Linked DNA regions of Drosophila melanogaster. The protein of the gene in region 2 interacts with the protein of the main gene of each other region in a pairwise test. Each region holds a gene or a part of one and is shown on either strand. Other genes may lie near its edges.

Evidence for each region.
Region 1: the proteins of CG32137 (region 2) and PGRP-LF interact in a two-hybrid assay, tested with the Drosophila melanogaster proteins (one large-scale study listed by BioGRID).

The regions. Positions count from the first base shown.
Region 1 is NT_037436.4:9,347,908-9,351,989, reverse strand, and holds PGRP-LF (peptidoglycan recognition protein LF), read right to left. Parts: upstream 2,382-4,082; 5' UTR 2,305-2,381; coding exon 2,166-2,304; intron 2,095-2,165; coding exon 1,943-2,094; intron 1,547-1,942; coding exon 1,162-1,546; intron 1,124-1,161; exon of another isoform or gene 1,103-1,123; coding exon 669-1,102; 3' UTR 501-668; downstream 1-500. Other genes in the region: UGP (UDP-glucose pyrophosphorylase), read left to right, coding at 1-72, 140-247; PGRP-LC (peptidoglycan recognition protein LC), read right to left, coding at 3,815-4,082.
Region 2 is NT_037436.4:13,935,178-13,947,859, forward strand, and holds the start of CG32137 (uncharacterized protein), read left to right. Parts: upstream 1-4,072; 5' UTR 4,073-4,281; intron 4,282-5,492; 5' UTR 5,493-5,848; coding exon 5,849-6,298; intron 6,299-12,682. UniProt on the Drosophila melanogaster protein: Functions redundantly with BicD. Involved in formation and/or development of mechanosensory organs during metamorphosis.

The DNA.
Region 1 (4,082 bases), 4.6 Mb from region 2:
CCGGACATCATTGAGCTGGATCACTTGACCGTGAGCGGAGATGTGACTTTCGGTCGTGGCGTTTCTTTGCGCGTAAGTTTGAATAATATTGAATGGTATTTTAAATACGCTAATAACATGTCTTAACTTGATTCTGCAGGGCACTGTGATCATCATTGCTAACCATGGCGATCGTATCGATATCCCAGCTGGAGCCATTCTGGAGAACAAGATTGTATCTGGCAATATGCGCATCTTGGACCACTAAATCAAATCCTGTACAATTGGATATCGTCTCACTAACTGTAGTCTAATTGTCTAAGTTTTATGTAGTAGCCATGTTCGCGTTTCAAATTTCCAATAACGAATTTCATTTAGCCAATTGTTGTAAGCACAAAGTGTGTCATCTGTATATATCGTTAAGTAGAAATCAGTCAGGGTTTTTAATCAAAATCGAATTGCAATATGTTTTCAAAAATGTTAGTTGTAGTCGTTCAAATGAGATATAAAAGATAGCAGCTGTTGAAACTCAATAAAGGCATGTTTATTTCTATAAATACGAAGGAGATTGTCACCTATTGGATGTGAGATATTTGTGATGCTTAACATTAGGTCTTAAATTAATATCACTTTGAAAAATGGCACAGGAATGGCACTAGCCAAGTTTCATTCCCCTTGCTTTCAGTTTTCTATGACTTTTCTAAATCGTCAATTAGACTATAGTTCTTGCTTATATGACCAAGTTTTATGCCCTGTTTGATTAGTTCTAATGCTATCTTTTTATTGCTACTCGATGGACCAATAAAGGCCACGACTAGTTCATCTGCATCTTTTGGAGGTTCACAGCTGTGATCCCAACCTCTGGCCTCGTAGATGTTTTCGTCCCCAGCCGCAACGAAATTATAGTTAATATCCTTATATCCATTGCTCTCGATGTGCCAATTTTGCAGAAGGCGCACTCGAAAAGTGCACTCGGCTTGAGTGAAACATGATGGCGTGTTGGTTGCCACAAATCTCACGCTCTCAATTGGCAGCTTCAAAGGAGTAAGTGGCACTATAGGTGGCTGGGCCAACCAATAGGGTCGGGTAACGATCTTTACAGTCTCATTGCTTAGGAGTCGCACTGAAAATAAATTTTGAAAATAAATATATTCTCGTATTTTTTTCTTTCAACTGCATTACATGATGTTGGATCCTGCGTGAATCGGGGCCAATTTTGCATCAGCTCGAAAAGCTTCTGGCCAGGACTTTCGGTGGGGCTTAATTGTCGATGGGCATATATATGATAATCCGGTTGCAATCTATGGAGACGTACGCCCTCGTCCATCAGTCGCTTGGCTGCTTCGATTTGTCGAGCTGGTGGCTCCATATTCACAAAAGTTCCGATAAAGGCTATGCTAACGGAGATGGCACCATATCCATTCACATGCTGACCCTGGATGTGCCAGCCGCGTCCTACGTATATTTGACCATCGCCGCCCACCAAAAAGTTATAGCCAATGTCGACCCAACCAAAAGATTTCATATGGAACGCCTGAATGGTCTTCATGCGGTATATGCAAACATCCTGGGCGAGATAGAAATAAGATTTATGCATAAGTAAACAGTCTTTTAACCGCTAACTTTTAGAAAAGTTTAATTAACTCGAAATAGTGCTGAAGAATGGGGGTTTTTTACCGAAAAGTATGTCGATCTATAGACTCAAAGCGGGGGTTTTTTTTTATGGCAAGCTATTGAATTATAATATCGGTTTTACGAGGCTTTCTAGGAAAAGTTTTGGGTTGATTATTTATATAAATTTTTGTAGATAAGAAAAGAACAACTGGTTACAATAAAGCCTTTTCATGAATCCTAAGTAATTGCCGCAGTAAGCTAAGTAAAACAAACTGGTTTCAAGTTAGCTTTAAAGCAATTCTATATCACTTTGATATTAACAATTTAAAATTCCCAAAGTAAGACTTACCTCTTGTTCGCATCCTTCGGTTGCCGTGTGATGAATGATAATATTGGAGACGGGAAGCTTAAGGTGCGGGTACTTCCCACTGGGTGGTTCCCCCAGCCATTCGCTGCGATCGAGTATGTGTAGGCCCTTGTTCGGCGAATGTGTGGAGAAGGCTAAACCAGGTTAACAATTGGTTATTGGTTATTAAATTGTATTCAATCTACGATTCGCTTTAATGACTCACACATCATCCACATGAAATAGCCAGCTGCTAAACCCACAACCATTAGAAGAATCACACAGAAATAGAGAAGCTCGAAGCGAAATCTTTTCTCGTTATTTATCGGTTTTCCTGGGTGAGTAACTACCACTGTTTTCGGCATCTTGAGATGTTTTCACTATATCGCACTACCCACAACCGCGATCGATCCTCGCACGACGAACGTCCGATGCCAACTGAAGTGAGTACGCACCCGATCTCAAGTCCGGTTGTTGTTTATTTCTGTTGACGGCTCCGAAAAATCCCCGGACATTTGAAAACCTAAAGCGACTGCGCAGTTCATAAGCTTGTTGATAAGAGATATTCATACCTATAAATAAATATATGTATGTATAACTAAAGAAAGCTTTTTAAAGCTTAATATAGGGTGCCATTTTTGCAACAGGGTGCGCGATCTCTGAACGCCGCCCACTTGAGATTAGAAAGAGATATTTGATGGTAGTGAGCAGTCCAAGAAATGGGAATCCCATTTTGTCAAGGGGGCGTATACTTACTCTTAGCGTTTTTGAAAGAAGCTAGCTCATCTTTGGACCGAAGTTATGATGTTTTCCGGTTTCTTGGAATGAGTGACCGACTACAGTTAGCGGCTGCGATTTGATCAACTGACCCAAAAAGAGTTCTTCACGATTATTATTCTGTTTTTATTTTGTCATAAATAGAACGCAGATAGATCGTGATAAGTAGAAAAAGAAAGCGAATTTAGCAAACATTTCTTTAACAGACAAACTAAAACTTAGGTAAAATGGAGCCTATACAACCTCCGGATAAAATATTTGCCAGATATAAGATATCCCAGCCAAACTGAACTCCAGACCAACTAACCTCCGGATAGTAAATGTCTGGTAAAACAAAACCCAGCCACAAAAACCCCCAGGCAAACTTACCTCCTGCTATAATAACCACTAGACGATCTAACCTTCAGATGAAATAACCCCAAGCCAAACTAACCTCGGGTTAAATGAACCTCCAGGTAATACACTCCCCCAGTCAAACCCCCTAACAAACGAGCCTCCGGATAAAATAACCCCCGATAAAGTAACGCCCAGGAAAGCTAAGCCCCTGGCAAACTAACCTCTGGATAAAACAACCCCAGGCAACCTAACCTCCGGATAAAAACGGATAAAATGATTCCCGGATAAATAAACCTCCGGATAAAACAACCGCAGGCAAACTAACGTCCGGATAAAACAACCTCCAGGCAAACTAACCTCCGTATAAAATAATAATTATAATATAATAATATAATAATTTTAAGATAGTCGCGAAAGAAATTAAAAATTCCAATAATCGGGGAAGCCCCATAACTCGCAGGTGGAAGAATGCGTAGAAAAGCCAAGCCATATTACAACTTTTCCGGTTTCAGGCAGTTCCAGACAGCACCTCTACAGAAATTCCCCGATTCCAGTTATCAGCTAGTTCTTGATCCCCATACATGATTGAAATTCATCAAGTAAATCATTTTGTTTTATTTAATATCACATTTTCTTTTTAAACGAATCGTTACTCTAGCTAAATCGAATATGCCACACATTAATGGGAGAACACCTATGATACAAAATCAATACGAAAATAAATGATAGTATTGCAAAATATCGAAATAGCTCTTAACCTATTCACGACCAATGAGTCCAGTTGGCGAAGCTTGCGTAGAGCGCATCCGCCTTAAAATCGGTTACACTTGGCATCAATTTACTGCTCGCCGTAAATCGGTAGCTTGGTGCAATCTTGCCCAGCTTTACGCCACGCTCCAGCAAAAGACGAGTAACACTTAGTTGCTTGGCCGACGGCTGGATGGTCTTAAACGATCCGATATAGGCGAAGCTAAGACTCTGCGAGTCATAGTTTATATTGTTCATGTGGGCACCCATTTTATTCCAGCCC
Region 2 (12,682 bases):
AGCAGCAATGACAACAACAGCTGCAATAGCAAGAAACTATTACATTAGACCAGGCCATAAACCATGATGGCCAAAATAGCCACCTCCCCCCCTCCACCAACCTGCCACTGGGCAATCAGCAAACCCTTCTGCTTGAAATGTAAATTGAAAATAATTTTCATTTTCTGGCTTTTTCCTTGCCATCGCCACTGCCCCTTTGACTGACCGACCGGGCCAGAAATCGGTGCTTCTTTTGACCCCATTCTGTGGCTTGACCTCTCGAGCTTAGGTTTTCTCATGGGGCAGCAAGAAATGAATAGGAAAACATTTGCAATTACAAATAACCACATTCTCCATTTTAATTATTAAAATAATTTTTTATATAAATAGTTACCGCAAGCCCTTTTTTACATTTATGTTTTAGTTTAACCAGCGTAACCTATAGCTAAATGGAATATAAGAATCTAAAATGAAATTATACGTACATATATAGATCTTAATTATATTTTTTACAATTTTTTTAAAATGTGAAGACTTATTCTGTCTTATAAACATTTTGCTTTCCGCAGAAGATTACTCACATGTTTTTTTTTTAATTTTTATAAAAAAAGTAAATAACGTATTGCTACACACCAGTTTAAAACCGCCTGATATTTTCGAGCTAAAAAATAGTTATAAAAAACAGAATACTTTTTTGCTGTACATTTGTGGTGCGGCTTCTGATGTGTGTCGCCTTGGTTGCGGAGCCCATTTGACCAAAAAGTCATTCTCACGCCCAGCTTTCGGCCAGCATTTGACCTTTTTACGGTAGTTTGTTTATGGCCTGGCACTGGGTTTTGTAATACGGTTGCTGTTTACCTTTTCGGCCATAACACTTTTTTTTCTTTTTTTAAAGTGGGCTCGAGCGCAACAGGCGGCTTTAAGCCGGACTTCTCGCTCTGCTTGCAGCGACCGCCAAAGTGACAGATCCTTCACCAAATCACCAGAGTTCACCACTGTCACTGACACACATATCTGGTAACATACCTATTCTTCTCCAGCTCCAGTTCCAGTTCCACATCCAGTTTCAGTTCTTTTTGTCGCCGCAGAAACCAAAACTTTTGACCATAAAACGCCCGGTAATGCCCCAACTTGTTGCCGTTGACTCATGCCGAGCGCTAAAAACAACATAATTATTGTACATATTAAAGACTTGATGTATGTGCGCACCAAATTGTGGACTAAACGACATGTGGTATACCCTAAAAAAAAAACAGATTAATTCATTAGGAATTTACTCGTAATCATTATTCATATAACGTATGAAACGTAGAACGTATGCATGTTGTATAAACCAGAGATTCCTCTAATGGTATGATATATGATGGTATATATATGGTATATGATATATGTTTACTCCCTTATCGAACAGATATGTTAAAGCTATCAAACTGATAAGTATATTAAAACTGATAAATATTTCAAGGTGCATAAATCGATTGAATTGTTTATATTAGCCTAACTACGATGGCTTGACCAAAATCACTAATAATTAAATGAAATTATAAATTGATTAAATTCGAATACAGTTCTCGAGGTTTGTTTTTCATTCGCTGTAATCCTTCAAGTGTAACAAACTCCATGGCCAAGTGGAATTTCTATGTTATTTCTGATTTGCTTGGAAAAAAAAGTGACACCAACATGCCAGAAAAGTTAATCAACCTCCCATAAGAACAACGCAAAATAAAAAGAAGCAGAAGTAATTAAACAAAAAAAAAAAAACTGCGATACAATGCAGAGCAAGAGCAAGACCGAAACCAGTTTAGGTGGGCTAGGTGGCTATGCTATGGTACGGATCGGTATGGTAGCCGTGCCCCAAGATGGATGAATGGATGGCTGGAGTGCCGAGCTCAACAAGAGCGAGAGTGTAAGACAATAAGGCAGCTCAAGAACACTTGATTGCAGGTGAACTGCAGCATGGAAACCGGAGATGAACAGAGCCACGAAGAATTCCAACCAGATGCCCCACAAATGTTCAAAGGAAGACACGCCACTAACCCTTCCTCATTAGGCAGTGCGGCAAAGTTATAGTTATAGATCGATCTGCGCCGGAAGCACGGAAGTTTCACTCACTGGCCAGCGAAAATCAAGTAAAACACAAAAAAGTTAGTTACGCCTGGTTAGGCCATCATCCGAAAGCTCAATTTGGTAAATGGCCAAACAGTAGCCCATACAGTAGCCCAACATAAACAAGCGGCCACGCAACATCAACATTATGGATGGATCTGAAGGCGGAGACGGTGATGGTGATGGCGTTGGCCACCAAGAACAATGGTCTGGTGTCGGTCTGAAGCTCATCTTCATCTTCACTTGGCCCGGCCACTTGAGTGTCTTATTGTGCATGTTGTTTGAGAAGTTTGGCGCTGGGCGGTGAGGAGCCGGCATGACTCTGGTTTAGTACCACGCACTAGACGGTCTGACCATGTCTACGGCCCCCTCTTTAGAAATCTTCCTCACTTGGATGCACTGGAAACATTGGGGTCACATACTTGTACCTATTTTCATTTTCAAAAGCAGAATGTGCTAGAAGTATGATTATAGGGTATGTGATAGAATATTTCATTTTCATAACTGATTTTCAGTAATTAGTACTGATCTCTAAATAAATTTTAAAGATACATTTACTTTGAGCTGTATAATATATAGATTAAATTCAGATGTTAATGAAACAATTTGAATATTTTTTACAGCTTGTAATTACTTCCTTCCGGAGCACTTTAGCTTTTTAACATAGACCATGTCTACGGCCCCCTCTTTAGAAATCTTCCTCACTTGGATGCACTGGAAACATTGGGGTCACATACTTGTACCTATTTTCATTTTCAAAAGCAGAATGTGCTAGAAGTATGATTATAGGGTATGTGATAGAATATTTCATTTTCATAACTGATTTTCAGTAATTAGTACTGATCTCTAAATAAATTTTAAAGATACATTTACTTTGAGCTGTATAATATATAGATTAAATTCAGATGTTAATGAAACAATTTGAATATTTTTTACAGCTTGTAATTACTTCCTTCCGGAGCACTTTAGCTTTTTAACATAATTTCGATGCCTAGAGCAAAATGACCGCGAATCTAAAAATTTGAAGAAATAAAGTTCCTGCAAACATATACCCATTAATTGCTTAGTGTATACCCATTGTTATTGCCATTCTTGGGTGCCCATTGTTTGTGTTCTTGTCGTATGTAAATTTTGCATTGAAATGTGTACGCTTGGGTACATGTGTGTATGCACGTCGTGGTTTTTGGAGGTCCAGGTCTCTGGCCCTCCTCCCTTTTGGCCACGCTCCCCAGTGCCCCCCTGCCCCATTCGAAACGTCACTCCGTTTCATTATTGTTCACTTGGCCGCTTTCGTAAGTCGGGCCCAATGCAAAACAAACGGCGAAGAGCAGTCAAGAGAGTAGAGCCGAATCAACCATATGTCAGTTAAAAGGGAAGGAAGTCGGAGCAAAAGAGCGCCAAGTGAAGCTTACCTTTGGAGCTGTGTTTTGGTTTTACCAGGGTTGCCAGGTAAGAAGCGATTTCATGAAAAATTCATCCACAATGCTAAGGCTTAAATTATTTCCTTGTAGATTTTAGATCTACATTTTTAAAGTAAGATTACTGCAAAATCTCTGTCCAAAATAATCCAAGTAATCATGACATTTTATTTTTAGGTTTGGCTATCGAGATTTGCCTAATACGATATGCCTATCAGTAGCTGAACAGAAAACCAGTTTTCCAAATGTTTATTGACTTAAAGAAGATATCTTAGGCCATAAATAGTCTATTATCAGTTATCTGCGTCCTAAATTGCAATTTGCTATCTTAGTTGCTTTGTAACCAATAATATTACTCGACTGCGATTATCGCCCCTGCTTCGTTGCTATTATTCGACAACCCTGGTGGAACACTGGTAACTCTCTTTGTTAACCGCCACCTAAGAGAGCCAACCGATGTTGTTGGTTGTTGTTGCCAAGATACGAGGCTTAGCCAGTCGTTCGTCGTCGTCGTCGCTTGGTTACTCATTTGTTTTGCCAATTTTCGTAGCACGGCGGCCTCAGCGCCATTCAGTTAGTAACGAACGTTCGCGCCAGACACACGTATCCGCCACGCCCCCGCGAAGCCGCCCTCTGAAAAGCTGGGGAAAGCCAGAAAATCGTAACCGAAGCGAAGCGAGCGCGCGTTGTACGGCATCGGAGAATCCGAAAATCGGAGAATCGGACATCGGACATCGGAAGTTCTGCTTTGGAGTGGAGCAGCGTCGTCGTGACCGAGGTTTCTGCCCTCATACATATACGGATATAGTTAGCTATATATATATATATACAAATAGTTTAAAAGATATATAGGGCCAGACTGTAGCGCGCTTGCGAAAGTGGAAAGTATCTGCTGGATACTTTGGATACTTTCCGTTTTGGGGGAATTAATTAGACCAATATATCCCATGCAATCCGCGCGTTATTTTTGTTGTTTTGTCAATAATAATGCCAAACTCTGGCCAAAAACGGCATATATAAGCGGAAATGCAAAACAATAATACCAACAATTTGAGCCAAATCGGTTGTGTATTTGTGAACTGTGCTGTCTGTGCTGCTTCCAAAAAAAAAATCAAAATAAAACGAATAAAATAAAATAAACACAAAGCGCACATAAATAACAAAATAAGTGTTGGCTAAAAGCTTAGCCTGAAGCGTATTATACATTTTAACAACAGTTGCTGTTGCTACCAAAAGCAGCTAAGCGTGAAGTGCTTGCCAAATGAATTTTCTATATAACAAATGAAAACGGCTAAAAAATATATATAAGTTTAAAAAAACCGGACCAAATTTTAAACGAGATCTGTGGACTTTGAGAGATTCTAGCCACCTTCGTTTGGCTCTATTGTTGTGTTTAGTTGGCCGATAATGTTTTAAAAATCATTTAACATTAATTGTATATATATTTGGGTATTTCGAAATTTAAACCTAGAGCGGAGACTCATACTAAACTCATTGGTACATCCTCGCTAACTAAAGCAACCTCTGTAAATAAACTTTTAATACCCTTAAATTTAATGGAACTACTACTGAAGTTCTTTTTGGATAATCTGCCTTAACAGCCTTATAAATATCCACCCACCTGTATAAATCCACGCATGTCAATACGCCCCCCAATCCGCAAGAAACTTAAACCCTATTTGATATCCAAGCCGCATGAAGCTTAACTAAAGACTAACTTAACCCTCTTGCTTAACACTGTAGTTATATGTTATCCCCCCCCCCCTGCCCAAAACACCCCTGACCCTAGCAAAACCAAAAACCGAAAAAAAGCCCCAATAACAAGTAACTAAAAACGTGCTGGCAAACGCTCAACGTGACCGTCGCTCCTTTTGGCCAACGATTAGACCCGTCTTGGCGGGCATACATATATATATATACCACATTTAATGCTAATTCTCATTACGGCTGTGTACTTATACTTATATATCTAACCGAAATCAACTGCAGCTCAAACACATCAGTCGCTTTAACCACGGGTCTGCTCTCTTTTGGGAGCAGCTGGTGTCCATGGAACTATGCTCGGATATATCATCGTATCGCCGCGCCAGCTAATGCTAATCCTACGACCAGATCAGAGCCATCTGAACACCTAACCAACGATAAACCCAACTACCAAAATTGTGATCTCTGCATCGCACTAAAACCTAAACTGATATTAATTGCATCCAACTTACTGTGCGTGTGTGTGTGTGTGTTATGTCTGTAAATTTGGTTCGTTGCTATTATCCGTACCCGTAATATCACGTACACACCATACCACACCTACCCGCCTGAAATAAGTCCAAGCCTGCCCGCTAACGATCATGCATAAACCAAAGCTAGCGAATGCTATAACCGCTGCCGCCATTGCCTCATCCATATCCACCAAAAACAACAACAACAACAGCATCGTCGGCGGCAGCAGCAGCAGCAGCTCCGGTGGCAACAAATCGAAGCGACCACGTCAGTTTGGCCAATACTCGATCGGAGTTGGAACTGGAGCTGGAGCTGGGGGGCTACTCCGGTCGGACGACTCCGGCTTCGACCACCTCGACTATTCGTCACTAATTGGGGATTCGATTGATTTAGAGCACTACATCAGCGCCATGGAGGCACGTCGACACGACCAGGAGCCGGATGTTTGGGCCCAGCTGCAGCAGAAGGAGTCGGACATCCTATTGGCCGCCGAACTGGGCAAGGCACTGCTCGAGAAGAACGAGGAGCTGGTCAAACAGCAGGAAAAGCTCATCGAGGACTATTCGAGCAAAATTGAGGTGAGTCATGAAACACATATAAAGTTAACAGGTGGAATTGCCATTATAAATGGCAAACAATTGAAATGGAAGTCAGTTATTTGGGGGAAAGGAAAATTGGTTAGAATTAAAAGAAATTTAGGAAGAGGACATATAGCTTGGAAGGTACTTTAGTGACTTAAAAGATAGGCAATGCATATTATACTTTAATACACTTACAATTTAAAAGATCATAGAGATGATAGTTATGTATCTCTTGAATATGGTTAAGCAGCAATTTAAAGAATTGGGAAATGAAAAAATTAATTTTTGTTATGTTTTCTAAATGAATGGAAGAGATCTAAGCACTCTTTATTATTAGTTTAATGATATCTTGCTTATTGAGGGAATGCTTTCATGTTCTTTTATCTCTATTCTCTATCTGATTTACTAAAGTGTGAGCAATAAACAAAATAATCACTTTGCTTCTATCTCTATATTAGCTACCAATTGTGTGAAACCAACATTTGTAAATTCAGACCCATTTATTATTTTCCCTTTTTAAGCTCCCTACCTTTTCCTCTAATGATTTCTTGAACAATCTAATAGTTATCTCTAAATGCCGGCGCATTTATCAAATCGGCAACGGCAGTTATACCTGAGTACCAGAATTTTGATTGACTCACCTGATGATTTGCATTGATTATTGGCGGACATGTGTTCGTAAATGACCCCCTCTATTGACGCATTGCTGGCATTCCCAGGTCGGGAGAATTAAATAATACATATACAATATGGATTTTTTTCGAGAGCTGAAACACAGCACCTGTCCAATGCAGCTCTGTAAACTGAACACACAAACTCCCCAAACTGTCAACTGCAATTTATATTGTGGGGTGGGTTCTTTAACTATTTAGACAAACAAAAATGGTTACAGTCATGTCACTTTATGGACGATGACATACTGTGTGTGTGTGTGTGCGCAGTAAACTACTGAACTATATAGTGTATCACGTAAGGGTATCGATTTTTGTTCCATCACAAGTTCTACCCTACACATTTTGTATGAAATAGCTGAAGAGCTCTTCTGAAGTCTCTCTAAAAATTGGCTTTATCGAGCACTTTCCTGATAACATGGCAGGAAAAGCAAAGTCTGTTCACAACACCTCCAAATGTTTCCAAAGTCTATGTCTGCCGCCCGACCTTGAACCGCTCGAATGGGTGGTTTCTGTGTGGGTGGGTGCGGTTCGTTCGCCTGTCACCTGTTCACACACACGCACACACACACACACTACAGATACTTCCAGGTAACTGACAATAGAAGAAATAGAAGAAGATAGGTAAACATAAAACACCCGTTCCAGCAATCGCTCCAAGTGAAGTTCAAGCCGCGGCTCAAGTTCGTGGCCGTTCACATTAGCATATTGGTTGCCTCAAACTTAGTTACCTCGCTTTTCCATCCTGAACCGATAGTTAGGCTAATGTACTTTTGTTGACCGACCGGTAAACAACAATGTATTCTTATCAATTAGGCTTCAACGCCGATTAATGGCAATTCAATGCACGAAAAGAGAACAGGAAATGTGAGGATGGTTTGGGGACCACCTGATGGTGTGAGTAACCCAAACAGAGGACACAGCAATGCGTTGAACTTGAATAATTTCGTTGGTACATATTTTCCGTGGGTTTGGGCCATATTTACGTAGTTGGCTTAGTCACTTTAACTGGGTTTTGTATTCTCCTTTTTTTTTTTTTGCTTTTGTAGTTAAGCACGTTGAGTGACTTCATCTTCATTGAGAAATGAAAGTGCGAAGGCCAATTGCGGGGGGGCTAGTCGCGTAATATCCTGGATATTTAGTCAGATGATGTCATCGTGAAAATTTTGTACATATGTTCGAGTCTTTTTGAGTCATTTTTGATATGCAAAAACTTTTGTGCAATGAATTTTTTATTGAAAATCGAGAACAACTCCATTGCTTATTAAATTTATATGCCCTCATTGAGTTTAAAACCAAAATTATACAATATATATGTATACATTATACATTGTAAATATCAAACTAAGTTCAATAATAATAAAATGCTCTCTCTGTTCGAGTTTAGTTTTTACGTGTCTTCAAAGTCTGTGTTTTAATCCCGTAAAATTCCCATTAAAATAATAGTTTGCTTGCTCACCTCATGCATTCCATAACCATTAACAATTTAAATGAAAATCGCTTGGCACCCGAAAAAACCATTAAGTTTATTATAGAGCGCTCCAATTTAAAGCCGAAAAGTGAGAAATTCCCATGTTCCATTTTCCATTGGCCATTAAATGGAAATCGCTTTAGACTAATGAAATTGGGCCAGTCCAAAAAAAAAAGGTTAACACCTGACAGTTGAACAACGCCAATTGTCGCTTTAATTATTTGCTTGTTTCTTTTTTTAATAACAATTATTGCTTAGGGAATTCTGGCGTGGAGCTGCCGCATAAATCTCTTGAATTTTAGTCACCTTGACTTTACCTTTTAGTCTTTGTTTAGCAAAGTGACGTGAGCCACATTTTCGCTGGATTCACTTTTATTTGCGTGTTTTTGGCAATATGCAAAATGGCTGGTCGCGTATCTAATTAATTTCTTCAAAAAGTTATGGAGCGCACAATGTCACTTCGCTGCTTGGATGGATGAACCAGTGGTCAGCTAAACCAGGCCCATCCCATTCGTATACTATATAGTATTGTATACTATATGTGGTCGGTCTGCGATTGACTGACGTAATTAGACCGCTCGGTTGTAGGTGTTTTGGTTCTGACCAAAATGGCAGTAGTTTTGGTCGGACTTGTTGTTATTGCCGTGGTCCGAAGCTCGCCTATTTTATTTTATTTCGCGGTCTGTTGAAGCGTGTGTGCCAATTTACGAGCATTGGCTTTTATTTTTAGCCACGATTTGTTTTTGCATTAACTTTTATATGCGCCATAATATAATATGTATATGGTTCTATGCCCTATTCCCACATGCGAACCAGTTCAGAGGCCTTGGCTTGATTAGTGCTTATTTTAAGGGATTTTCGCCAGAGAATTGGTATTAGGATTACTTGGAAAGGTGGGAAATTTATACAGTTAAGATGTATTTATGGGTTTATTTTAACACTATACATATATGTAGTCTCACACTTTTCAACCTCTTCAATTTCGACCGTAACAGCTTTAACCTATAAATAGCTCGCTCGAAATCGGTCTTTTATTCTCAATATGTTCTCAGCCATATTTCATTTCGCTTACAATTTTTTCCAAGCCCACTTCATATTATCTAGTTCACAGACAATCGACCAAATAGTTGACCATTGTCTGACTACCAAAACGTGTTCGCTTCGCCCAGGTTCGATTGCAAGCCCAGTTTTTTTTTTTTTTAACTCCCGAGTCGAGGAGAACAATTGAGTGGAAATCAATTGGAATCTGGCATCCCATTGTAGCTCGCCTTAAGTCGCTCGTTTATCACGATCTGCAGACAATTGTTGCTATTACTGGTTAGGAAATTTAAGCCCAACTTGAACGACGACGAAGTGTTGCAAATGGCAGTCGAATGTAAAGTATATAATTTGAAACGTAGGCGTCTGTTACGATTTAGGCATTTAAATAACTCAAATCGGCTATCGGCTTAAACCCCTTTGGCCTTTTCGAAAGTCTACACCCCTGAGTTTTTTGTTCGCCCGGCTTTTATTGCTTTAATAACTTTTGCTGTTTGTTTTTTTTTTTATTTTTATATATTTCTGACATTGGCCAACTGGTTTCAGTAATTTATTTAAGAGCTCTTAGTAGAACGGCAACTCACAAACGTTCTCTGGCAATTTGTTCTTTGATCAATTATGATATTAAATTGAAACTTTCAGCCGTTTCCCCGATCAAAGAATGCTAATAAAAAGGTAATTTCATTTAAACGTTCTTTGATTAACCTTGATGATCGTAAACAGGATATGGTTAACCATAGAAAATGGAAGTGAAGATCTATGGTTTGTGGCTAATGAAAGGAAATTCTGCGGTATTCTTAAAGTCTTATTTACATACCATACTGTAGTTTCACTTAGAATGAGATGCGGAATCTATGATTGGAGAGATTTAATGCTAATTGATTAAAAACACTTCCTGAAGACACTGTAATTATTTATAATCCAATAAATGTAAATTTAAATATATATTTAAGTTGTAGAAAACCCAACAAGAAACCAAAAACTAAAGCGAAATCTCCAGTGAATGCACATTTCCTTGTGTAACTTTAATAAACCTCAACAATTAAAGTTATATTTATATTAATTTCTCTGCCAATCCAAATGATTCATGCAAATGAACGTATCTTCCGCCTTTCGATCGAATCACACACCCACAATGCCCATCGCTTCACTCAAATGAACTGACCATACCAGGTGGGCGGACTTCTCGAGGCGCCCAAGAATACATAATGGCCATAATGGTTACCTCTCAATCGAAGGCACCTCTGCTGGACGCCTACTTCATCTATGGTTAGATAACCAAACGCGTTCTAGCAATAAATAAAGAAAAGTGCGACCAGGGAACCCAAAAATAAAACTTAATCAAAATGAAACTCTTCTCACGTTCGTGGATCAACCATTTTTCTTTTTTTGGACTGAGATGAAGTCATCATCAACACATTGTCGAGTGCTGCTGTTATTGTTGTACTATTTTTTTGCAAAAAAAAATTCAAAATCAACCAATTTGCATGCGAATAATACGGGTTTATATAGCCAGACATATATACATATATATATATCGCCGCGTGTCCATCTCATTTGCTGAAAACCAGTTTGATCGATCTTCGAAACAACAACGAAAAGTGTTGATTTTTTGTAATCTTCTTTGATGAGTCACAAAGCGATTTTGAGACCGAGTGGAGCTCATTTACCTGCTAAGCATTTCTTCGAGTACCCCCAAGTTAACTCCCAGTTCACCAGTTTTTGGCCTCGTTTGCCGAACAGGTATGCAAATTTATACGTTAACAAACAAATGGTGTGCCTTAATTTTGGTTTGGCCGAAATGTTTTCAGATTTAAGGTGGACAAAATGCTGGGCTCTGCTCATGAATGGGGGTGTACGATCTGGGGTTGGACCCCCTTTTTGCTGGGAAATTGAGGTCGTTCGACATAGTGTAGCACGATTATTATTGGACATTAGTCGCCAGCGTCACCCTATTCGCATTCGCATTGGCTCTTGGCCAGTAATAGCATTTCTTTGGCCATGTTGTGTGGATGGATGGATGGATGGATGGGTCGGCAAAATGTCATGGTGAGTGCTTTGTTTTCTACGCCACCTTTTTGCCCAGGGAAATTACTTTCCTTATTGGTCAGGCCATAAGCATTTTCCTTCCACCTTCTTCGTTTCGCTTTTTGTGTCATCAGGGAAACATGAGTTTTTAATGCGGATTTTCCGAGACCATCTGACTTTGTATTTAGCCTCATCAGCTTGTAATGAGCTTTATAGAAAGTATAAAAAAACGAAACTGTAACAAGCGGGGCTTGAACTGCTACATTACAGGGTTTCCAAGAATATTAGATGCATATGCATATAGTGCATTTTATTATTGGCTTTCGAGTTAGTTAACAAATTTATTTATTTATTGCATGTTATGTAACTTCATGTTTGTTAGCAAATCCAATCTAATTGTCACACTACCTGGTCATTTGGGTCTTTACCATCTTGACCGCGACTCTTGGTGGGTGGAAACGGGAGGCGGAGACCTTCAAGCCATATTCACGATCAACTAACTGTTGCCATTCATTTCCATGTTAGTTAATCGACATGCCGAGCAGTTGGCAGGAAGCAAATCCAGTTCAAATTATAGTTGCTATTGATGCAGGCTTTACATAATAGATTTGATGGTTAACTGTGGCAGAGTCCGTGAGCAAACCGTACCGCCTCTCACTGTCAAAGTCCATTGATGTGCAAATTATGGCCAGCAACTGAAAATTAATAACAGCAAGCAAATTAATTCGACTGACAGCTAAATTGCGAGTATTAACCATCGGGCGGCGTTCCTCGACTTTGACTTTGGTCTCTTGAAGATGGCTAAGTATGAGACTACCGCAACAATGCGGCATCTTCCATAATTCCATTGTTGTTGTCATACCTGAACCTTTGTACAAACATATTCATATGTAGGTACATATGTTGCATGTGTATAATTTTATAAAATTTATTTCTTCCATCTTCGTTCCTACACACACACACACACACCGCTGATGATGATTTTTAATGAATTGCTGAAGGTGAAAGCATTTTCACTTTCCAAAAGCAATTTTCGGTGTCAAAGCGATGCTTGGGAACAATAGAAGTCGACTTGGAAATGTCGCCAAAGTTTCGGTCTGAGCGGAGTCGTAAACCAAATTAAATCAAAAATCTAGTCGGCATTAGTTAAATGGCAGCAAAATGCAAAAAAAA